Schizosaccharomyces pombe: one gene and its partners. The main gene of each other region encodes a partner of the protein of the gene in region 2 in a complex. Each region holds a gene or a part of one and is shown on either strand. Other genes may lie near its edges. The genes, in order: rsm24, mrps17 and rsm10.

The links.
Region 1: mrps17 (region 2) and rsm24 share a complex: the UniProt entries of both Schizosaccharomyces pombe proteins name them as parts of the mitochondrial small ribosomal subunit.
Region 3: mrps17 (region 2) and rsm10 share a complex: the UniProt entries of both Schizosaccharomyces pombe proteins name them as parts of the mitochondrial small ribosomal subunit.

The regions. Positions count from the first base shown.
Region 1 is NC_003424.3:562,281-565,707, reverse strand, and holds rsm24 (mitochondrial 37S ribosomal protein mS35), read right to left. Parts: upstream 1,783-3,427; 5' UTR 1,539-1,782; coding exon 1,244-1,538; intron 1,235-1,243; exon of another isoform or gene 1,156-1,234; coding exon 674-1,155; 3' UTR 635-673; downstream 1-634. Other genes in the region: phospholipase D Pld1, read left to right, coding at 1-540. UniProt on the Schizosaccharomyces pombe protein: Component of the mitochondrial ribosome (mitoribosome), a dedicated translation machinery responsible for the synthesis of mitochondrial genome-encoded proteins, including at least some of the essential transmembrane subunits of the mitochondrial respiratory chain.
Region 2 is NC_003423.3:1,165,883-1,169,321, reverse strand, and holds mrps17 (mitochondrial 37S ribosomal protein uS17m), read left to right. Parts: upstream 1-2,024; 5' UTR 2,025-2,117; coding exon 2,118-2,390; 3' UTR 2,391-2,802; downstream 2,803-3,439. Other genes in the region: DNA recombination protein Saw1, read left to right, coding at 273-635; rRNA processing protein Tsr2, read right to left, coding at 988-1,260, 1,522-1,788; rib4 (6,7-dimethyl-8-ribityllumazine synthase), read right to left, coding at 3,075-3,439. UniProt on the Schizosaccharomyces pombe protein: Component of the mitochondrial ribosome (mitoribosome), a dedicated translation machinery responsible for the synthesis of mitochondrial genome-encoded proteins, including at least some of the essential transmembrane subunits of the mitochondrial respiratory chain.
Region 3 is NC_003423.3:3,868,168-3,871,928, forward strand, and holds the start of rsm10 (mitochondrial 37S ribosomal protein uS10m), read left to right. Parts: upstream 1-2,000; 5' UTR 2,001-2,125; coding exon 2,126-2,205; intron 2,206-2,271; coding exon 2,272-2,878; 3' UTR 2,879-3,040; coding exon of another isoform or gene 3,041-3,761. Other genes in the region: mri1 (methylthioribose-1-phosphate isomerase), read right to left, coding at 1-434; protein Cwf3, read right to left, coding at 3,041-3,761. UniProt on the Schizosaccharomyces pombe protein: Component of the mitochondrial ribosome (mitoribosome), a dedicated translation machinery responsible for the synthesis of mitochondrial genome-encoded proteins, including at least some of the essential transmembrane subunits of the mitochondrial respiratory chain.

The DNA of each region.
Region 1 (3,427 bases), on a different chromosome or scaffold from region 2:
CTTGAGGTGAATCCTATTAGTGGAGAAACAATTCCTAAATTTGACGCTTCAAGCTTTGAGGACCCCGTCTGCGATGAATTTTTTGAAGACATATGGTCTAAAGTGGCTTCAAACAATACTACTATTTATCGGCACATATTTCGATGTGTACCGGATGACGAGATGCTAACGTGGGAATCATATAATGAGTGGAAAAAATATGGAAAACGCTTTAAAGAAGAGCAAGCCCGCTGGCGTCAGGAGGAGTTGTCAAATCTACACGAAACTCATGAAAAGTCAGAGAATGATCCAAAAAATCCAAAGGCTGGTTCCCAAGGTAGTGGTAACACGAGTGCAAGTGAAGATTCGAAGACAGAGAAACCAAAAACCCGTACTAATAATGGTTTACAAGTTCCTGACAAACGTGTAGTTTACGACTTACTACGTGGCATTCGGGGACAGTTGGTAGAACTTCCATTAAAATGGATGTCTACCGAATCAAACGCAAGAAATTGGCTCAGTAGTATTGACAAAATCCCTCCGTTAGAAATTTATGATTAGAGAAACAGTACCTTTTATACTACAGTTTTATTTCATCTTAATATAGTAATGAGAAGGATTAATTCCTTCAATATTAGCTTACATTATAGACTCGTTAATTTTAATAGTAACTTAAACAAACTTTCCTTTCATATTATTCATCTGTAGTTGCTATCGATTCTCGTTCAAGTACTGTATTATGTGATTGCTTGCCAATCGTTGTTTTCTTTTTAGAAGTGAGTGTAGTTGCGTCTGCGAGCCATTCCTGTGGCATCCGTTTATCACACTTCTTGTATTTCCAATGGCCAGTATTCAATGGGACATGTGAAAATTTTTCAGCATTTCTCTTCGATTCTTCAATGAGCGAAGTTAATATCTTTATAAGATGATATTTATTTTGTAGTGCAGAAGAATACTTGTCGGAAGATATTCTGACTAAATCCTCCTCCGGATTATATCTTGGTCCAACCAATAATCGTAATACATGTCGTTGTTTCTCCTCTAGCAAAGGAATATTCGTAACTTTAAATGTAACAACGACCTTCGGATTCATTTTCTCAAACGAAGACATTTGGACATCAGATTCAAACCTAAAGATCTGGCTATCAGCAGGCTTTTTAAAAGACTGTGTGTAAGCTATAATTGTCAGAGAAAATGGAACATTAAGCATATTAAAGTGATTGTGAAATAGAATTCCTAAGGTAAAACTACCCAGTAAACTTACGCGTAAGTCCAGGAAGCTCATAAGCAGCTTTCCTATACAATTCACGTATGACCTCGTGCTCTTGTATTTTCTGCCATGATAGATTATTGGAATGGACGTTATCATCAATTGTTTTCAATTCCTTCTCGTCATGAGGCTCGATTCCAAAAGGCGCTGACACATAAGCACTTCGCTTAAATCTTGTAAAATAGAAAACAGAGAAAGCTCTACTAGTAGCACAAAAGCTTGATTTGGAAAGTTGCCCGAGGAATATGGCATCTGCTTTCAATAAAGATAAAAGGGGATTAAAAGCCATTTTATAACCACCCAAAACACTAAATATATGTAATATTTGTATTATAAAAAAAAATAAACCACATTTAACGAATGCGCAGTAGTGTATGATACCGGATTTTATATTTTCTTTGAAACGAAAAGAGTGGCCGTTATAAATGGAAATCTGAATCTAACAAAAACTTTTTTTCTAAAATTTAACAATCCAAATGCTCAAAACAATTAAATAAGCTACAAAAAGGTACTTGAAGGGGATAGTGAAGAATGTATAAACATTGTTGTCCTTGACTTGACTTCGTTGTATATAATTATAACACACTAAATCTTAGTAGTTAGAACCAGTAAAAACCACATAATAGACTGGAATGAAGGTTAGTAACGTAAAATAGCATCGATTCTACTCAATTGCATTTATAACATCTATTGAATAAAAACACCTAATAATACTTTCAAGCTTTTTTTTTTCTTAGGAATTTAATAGCACTTGCTTCCCATCCTTTTTTGGCATTCGCTGTTTAAAAAGTGTGTTAGTTATCCTTATATTTTGATTTTCGTAAGCAAGACTACACTACGTTACGCTGCGTATCACTATATGTCATCTGTTAGGATAGATTTAAGATTCGTTTACTAATAATTGCTGATAACTATTCTTTTGAGTACTTGTTTGTGTTTGATCATGTTTACTCCAAAAGATTATAAACAGAGTACATCTGAACAGAAACAGGTTCGTTTATATGTTAATTAATGGCAGGTAACAACGTAACCCATGTATAAATACTTACAACAAATTGCTACCCACATCACACCTATATATAATATGATATTACCGATCACAATGAAAACTCACAGAAGTCAAACAAGATACTACAATGCGCAGCTAGATAATATTGCACTTTCATTACTAGCGCTATTTAGTAAATAATTAAAAGAAGTTCGATTCAATTGTAAGTTTCATGAGAAAACAGGAAACTCCATTTAAGAATGATTTAAATATAAGAAAAAGACGCAATGTTTTTAAGAAAATGGGGTAAACAGAGTGATGGCAAGTCATCTGCTCAGCGTCTAGTCATTATTATTCCCTGTATGTGTTAATTCAAGCCTATCAAAGTAAAATAAAAAATTTTTTACGAAATAATCTTTTATTGAACTTGATTTAAAAAATCTGTATTTTTTATTTAACTATATTATTATGAACGTGAAATAGTGCTTAATTGGGTTCTTTAACCGTGATGTTTACAATGTTTGTATTGTATTACTTTTAAGTTAAGTAAAAACTAAATACCTTGACCCACATAACTTGTTCTTTGCAAAAATGTTAAGGAGCTGAGTATTTTAGAGTACTCAACACGAATGGAAGTCAATGCATATAACAATCTGTAGACAGTAATATTAGACTGTTAATGTTTACATGAGTCATTTGTAAAAAAAAAAAAAAAAAAAAAAAAATTATAAAATAATTGAATAAATAACCTATTACAGAAATCTTCAGACAACGATATTTTATTAATTTATTCCATTGCAATATTGCTTTAATACAATTTGGCTTGACATTGTGATGGAATTGACATGGATAATTTAAAATAATTAATTAAAAATTTTGTTGAAATTAATTGACTATTAACAATTCATGAAGTATCGTAAATCTGCCCTGATAAAATAAAATTTAAAAAAGTGTTGAAAGTGTTAATGGCTTTATAATTTGTAAACTTAGCCGTTTATTAAGTTTGAATATTGATAATTATTGAAGAATAAAGCATTATTTCCATTTTTTCTTCGTTGATTCATAGCTTTCATCAGACCTCTTCTGACCAAGGTTGACTAATGTATACAATTTGATTTTAATGACAATTCTTTCTTCTTATTAATAGTTTTTGCATAATTTTTCCCCAGCTTCTTATTTAATCCATCGAA
Region 2 (3,439 bases):
TCTCTCTTTTGAAGGATTATTGTTGTTCATATACTTAACTACTTGGCTAGTTAAAAAATAAATAATAAATAGCATTCCTAAAAAGTCGTTATGTTTACGACTCATTTACTTGACTGTATTCCCATCTTAGAATTGAAATTTATAAGTCGTCTTTTGTTGTATATAATTTAACTTAATACATGGAGTATTGAGAAATTCAAAGAGTTTTGTCATTTGCTTTTTTTGGCTATGGTTGACCATCCTCCCGTATCTAACCAGACACCAAGGTGCAAATGTGTTCTGTTGAGAAAATTGTGAGGTTGAGGCATAACTTGTTGTGTCACGTTCGAATTCATTTTAAAACAAAAGAAGACCTTGATATTCGGGCTTTCCTTTTTTCCCTACAGCGTGAATTGCATGCAGTTGCATTTCTCAACCAAGGATCCATCCGCACGCTCTACGAGAAAAGAGTAGTGGATATTACGAGTGAATCGGTCCAAAGCCATGCAATCATCGAAACTGCTAGAAATTTTGCACTACCAAATACTGCTGAAGAGGAGGAAAACATGGATCGAAAGCCAGAATTGCAGTTGAGTTTTAAAGGATCAATGACTAGTAAAATAATACATATTTATGTACAACCATTCGATTCATGAAAGAATGTATTTTGCGCCTTTTTACGTCTGCATGACTAAAATACACTCTATTTACAGCCTAATCTCATAAAAAACAAGTATTAAAAATTTGAGAAGTGAAAAAGCTGCTCAATTTAACTCGTATTCGTATTTTGGCGGATCACGTTCTTCTATACTTTTAACTACATCTTCTTATGACACGGATTACAAAGGCTTAAAAAATATAAGAGTTATTTCGATCCCAATTTTCAATTTTCAAACCAAAAACTTGAATTTTTATTATCCCCCAAAATACAAAAAAGATAAAACCAATTGCTCCCAGCAATAATGCTCATTTAATGATACCAAAAGATATAAGAATAGTACATCCTCTTTAACGACGTCTTTTCTGGACAACGGTGAATCCATCATCATCAACAATGGGTCCCTGCTGCTTTTCCTGCTGATTTTGAGCAGCTCCTCCATCCTCAGCATCAACAATCGTTTCGTCTTCTACCAATACCGGAGGATTTGACTCTTCTCTAGTTTTTTCCTTTCCTTCCTCCTTTTCAAGCAATTGTTTTCCGAGACGCTCATGGATTTCACGAATAGGTTCATAATTATCTTCGCAAGCAGCTTTCCACACATTAACCAAATCTTGAGCCAACTAAATAGACTGTTAATAGACGTATCACTTGATAATTATTTTAAATGCTAATAGAAGTAAAAAATTTTTAATATAGACAACAGAACGCAATATGTGTATAAACTCGAGCTTTTGACTAATATTCCAATATTTCGTCCTCAAACTTAAATCATTTTTTCGGTGCCAATATATATATACGAATCTTCAGTCTCAAGCAAGCTTGTTACGTTCTTTCTTGTTTGAAAAAAATCTTTACCTAATTTAGTATTGGTGAATACTTACGATATAGGGTGAGTCGTCTTCTATTGAACCAACATTGAATTCATCCTGCAGGACTTGAAGAATCAATTCTTCAACGTCCCATGCTTCCACATCGCTCGTAACTGTAATATAATCAACTAAAACTCCTGCCATCCAGTCTCGTTTATCGGCGGTATCGACATCGGCCCATTCTTCTTCAACAGCCTGTTTCATAACAGGCCATGAACATAAAAGAACACCGACAGCATATTCAAAATATGTCAGTCTCTTAGATGGGTCGTCAAACATGGCGAAAACACAGTGTCAATAACCCTCGTTCTTCTTCTCTACAAAGTCACCCTACCATAAAGTACTTTAAAATAAAATACACATACTTTTCCGATCCTCGTTATGTTGTTTATCACATTTATATATTATCATTAATTGACTTAAGGAAAGCTTATTTATGTTAAATAATTATAAGGGAAAAGACGCCGCTTCATTGCACATTTGTAAATAGGGCAATGTCAAAACTCTCTACTGCTAAAACGGTGCGCATTGATAACTTAGTTATTGTGGGTATTTAAAGGATTAGACTTACTTACTTTTCTTGTTTAATCCTAAAATTACTCTGAAGAATGAAGCTAAATTATGTGGGAATCGTGATTTCTCGTGCAATGCCAAAAACAGCGAAAGTGCGGGTTGCAAAAGAAAAGTTCCATCCAGTGGTGAAAAAGTATGTCACCCAATATCAAAACTATATGGTTCAAGATGATTTAAATTGTAATGTTGGAGATGCAGTTACAATACAGCCATGTAGGCCTCGGTCAGCGACTAAACGCTTTGAAATCATAAAAATCTTAAGCACAGCCAACCGTATGAGCCCAGCATCGGAGATTTCGAAAGAGTAAATAAAAAATCCCCATTAATTTTTGATGATTCCTAATGATTTCGATTGATCCATTGTGATAAGTCTTTCGCGGTGGTCATGAATATTGTAAATCGGTGATTGACCGCTCTTTCTTAACTTGCCAATTACCTGTATACACCGATATCGATTTTAACTGGAAATTTTTACATTCACAATGGCTACGTAATGTTGCAAATTGTAGATTGTGCATCAGAAGAGTCTCAAATCACATTCATTTCTAAAAGAAAACTACTCTTGTAGTACCATGTTTCCTGCTCCCAGCATTCAATGCCTTTAAATTTGTTTACAACTATGTCAATAATACTTCTGTAACATCTTTTTTTGTAAAAAGGGCAAGTGATTGAACAAGATGCATATAGACAGTAATATATTCAAAATAAAGCTTACAAAACATAATAAGTTGGGATTAAGTCTTAAGCAAATTTAAAACATCGTATACATTAACCCATAGCTGTATATCTTAACAAACTGGGGAATCATGAAAATACGTTGCAAACGATTGAATGAAAAACATACTTGTTCAACTAAGACGGTGCTCATAAGAAAGCGACAATGTATAAAGGATCATGACTAAAGCTTTAGCATGTCAGTAGGTCCTTTCGAAGAGCAAAACAGTCAGTAGCATATTTTATTAACAAAAAAATGAGCAAAGGATTCAACTTAATTAATACAAAGCTTTCAATCCCATCTCTACAGCAGCTGATCCCCAATCATTTCCATGGTTATGGCCACCATTCAAACCTGCACGATAAAGAGCTTGCTCTTCATTTAAAACTGTTAATAGACCTAGAATGACGGGAACACCTGAATCAAGGCCAACGCGCATAAGACCATGAACAACAGCTTCTGAAATATATTCAAAATGCATGGTGGAACCTTTGATTAAAACGCCAATGCCAATAACAGCATCATATGTATTGCGGGCGATGGAAGCACGAATACCTTGAGGAAGTTCCCAACTTCCCGGAACACTTTCAATGTCAATATTCTCCAACTTCACATCATGTTTTTCTATCATGGTCTCAACGG
Region 3 (3,761 bases), 2.7 Mb from region 2:
TAATGCTGCAACAAGAATTTTCGGCCAGCAGTTCCAATATTGTGGTTGTCTTCTAAATCTTTTACTAGCATACGCTCCGCTTCCTGAATAATTTTATTTCGACAATTTTTTCCTTCTTGAAGAGCAATGCCTTGCATAAACTTTGCAGTTTCAAAAAGATTGACAGCGGTAGGACGAGACTGTTTGAGATGCTCAAAGCTATTTATAACATATTCTTTTGCATCTGCATCTTCAGAAAGATGTTTTAATCCGACAGCCACACTCAAAGCTGCTACAATAGCAATAGCTGGGGCCCCACGAACTTGCATTTTTTTTATGACAGCGAATGCGTCTTCTACATTACTAACTGAAATGTATTTACGCTCGTACGGAAGAAGTAATTGGTCTAATACAAGAAGCTTGTCCTCATTATAAATGATTGCTTGCAACGACATTCTGCCCAAATTTTTGAATATCTCTGCCTTTGAAAACTTTTACTTCACTAGCGCACGAACGCACATGCATCAGATAAAATTAAAGGATTTGATGAAGCTCGTAGCGATGCATTAATAGAAATAATGAATTAATATAAAGTTACACTGTGTAGTTTACTTAGGAACAAAAAATAGTACATTAAGTTTAATATAAATTTATAAGAAGAGTTAACGCAGTCTTTCGTACTTTTGACACTGCTTATAGATAGATAAAATTAGCAACCCTAACTTAATATTGTGCTTCTTATTTATCCGCACTATTTGATATGCATCTAACATTTTGAACGCGTAAACAAAAAATTTAGACTCATTCAAAGATGTAAGTTCCATCGTCAAATTATATTACCAAGTTATTTTGATAATGAGTATGGTGCCTTGAATTATAGATTAAAAAATGTATCACCGAATTTATTTTTAATAATGAGTCGATCTGACATATTAGAATCAAGGAATAATAATATGCATTGATGTTTTATGAAGGAATTACAGCTGTAGAACCTATGTATACAAACTTCAAACTTTTAAAGATGAGAACGATATATTTTTTTCGTTTTCCAGAAAAGCCATGCTTGAAGTATTTATCAAGATGTTCGGTAGTGTCAATTTAATAATCATATGTGCGACTTTGACTTTGACATGCAGCAAGAAGTTGTTGACACCAACCTATCTGCTTGAAAAGTGATACTCGTTTGCAATACTTAAATATATATATATATATATCAGTGATCGCAAGTCAGTTTTGAATGCAGGATTGGTAAACAAGGGTCGCAAGTTAATATATTTATATAGCTGTCTGCTGTAACAGTTTAACATACAACCTTGAAACTGTAAAACATTGAATATTTTTCATTGTTAAAGCCAATTTAAATGAGAACGATTATTGTGTTACGAGGTAAGCATTTAATTCCAAAATCCCTATGTATTCTTGTAGTATAAAGTAATTTGAATGACAAATCAGTAGATTCTTCCATAATTGCAAGTAGGATGCCAGTCCCAAACCTTTAATTCCTAGCTCAAAAGCACAATTGTTCAGTTCACACTTTTGTTAACTTCCGGAATTTGTTATTGTAAAATAATTGTCTCCTCATAATTTTAAAAAATTACATCTCATTGCTGACTGAGAACTCTCATCATACTGGTCAATTTTAAATTGTGCTGAAAGCCTTATAATCACAAATATTCATGTTTAATCGAATTTTTTTGGTTTTCTTCACTATGGTGCATCAATAATATTTTTAGTACAGTACAATCACACCCACCTTTGAATTCTAAACTTTGACCTTCAAATGCAAATAAAAAATTTATAGTTAGATCGTTCCATCATAGTATAAATTACAGAATGATATTGCTTTTTTAAAATAAATGTTACCATCTACGTGTTTTTCAAGGTATTCACGCGCGAACGACATTTAAAATGATTTCGCTCCGCTTGTTTATGTTCAATTAAAACATTGATTAATAACCCCTTAGTCCTACGATAATTGTGTTAAACTGAATATGATGGTGGATGACAAGTGTAGCTCGACCATTACTCCCCACTCCAACCAAAAAATTTTGTTAAAAAAAAACACCTTTACAGTGTTTAATTGTTGGAATTTTGTTCTTGTGGTTTTCTTAACAAGTATTTTAAGTAACCGGCTAAAATATTAATCATGAAACGGTATATGTTTGGTACATTACCTCGCGTGCAACCGAAACGTTGTTTCCAGACAGCTATTGGCAAAGAATCACCGTATGTATTCAATCCTTTCCTCTAATTTAAGCTATAATTTTGTACATTCTAACCCCAATTTATTAGCAAAGGGAACAGCGAAAAGGATCAACTTTTTGAGAATCCATTTTTTCAACAGCTTCCTTCCAACGTTGCAGCTGTATATTTGAACCCTGTTAAATTCAATCCTTCTGAAAACGACGTACTTTGTGCTTCTCTAAAAATTAAAAGCTTTGAAACTCCAAAACTTGATACGTTTACCGACTTCATTTGTCGAACAGCGTATTACATGAAAATTCCAATCAAGGGTCCACGTCCATTACCCAACAAAGTAGAAAGCTGGACTTTACTCCGATCACCTTTTATTCACAAATCTTCTCAGGAGAATTTTGAACGTATTACGCACTCTCGACTTATACAACTGTACAGTGTCAATCCAGTTACTTTAGAAACGTTTTTTAGTTATTTACGAAAATGCAACATGTGGGATTTAAAATTGCAAGCAAAAGCTTATGAATACGAATCCATCGATGATGCCCTTAAAAACTTCGAGTCACAGTCTAAGTCTACTGATAATTTCAAAGAATTGTTAAACGGTCCTTCGAAAAAAGATATAATCACACAAAATGCCGAAAAATTGCTCAGAAACGACCCCATTTACAAAGATTTGTTAAAAAATTCATCTCGAAAATAAAAATTAACTAATGTGTTTTCAATTACTCTGATGTTGGACCGTTTATTAGCAAAAATACTCTGACTGTATTCGTACTTTTTTTTTTAACAATATGACACTAGCTTTTCTTCATTAAAAGTGTTCTTTAACTAAAAACGTTACGAATAGTCCACACTTGTTTCGTTAGTTTTCCTCACCAGTAATTTTTGAAGTTTCTTGGGGATTGCTTTTCGAAAGAACAAAACCCGCAAGTGCCTTAGGTCCTTCAGATTTTTCCATTTCAAGCTGTTCCATTGGATCCATTGGTGCTGCTGCACTTTCAATTTTAGCTGCTCTCTTCGCTATATGAAGGGAATCAGTGCTAAACTTAGTTTGTACAGACCGTTTAATACGAAGCATTTCTTTAACTGTTTCTTCTGGATTTCCGTACCTTATTTCAAATTCTTGCCATGCTTTCCAATAATCCGTTTCAACTCTTGGATCACAGTATTGACTTCCATGAATATATATTAAACGAGCACGATCGATTTCACCAAGTTTCGTCTCCATTTCAGCAAACCTTAAGCACATATCTTTGACTTCTGAGTCACTCAGGGATTCAATAGCCTTCTCATAAACTGTCCTTGTCGCCAGTACACCATAATTTAATGCCACTTTAACGAGTAACACATTGTAAATAGCAAGACGGTCTGCTGTTTTAACCTTGTCGGCCGCTTTTTCTAAAATAGAAATGGATCTTTTTGCTTTGCCAAACTTTTCTTCGAAATCGGCATACAGAAGATAAATACTTTTCGAAAATTCGGGCGGACATCCTTCTAATGCTTGTTCAAATAAATCCCTGGTCCTTTCCATATGCGTTCCTTGATATCGTTTAACAAATTTTGTTAAATATAAATTCCAAAGT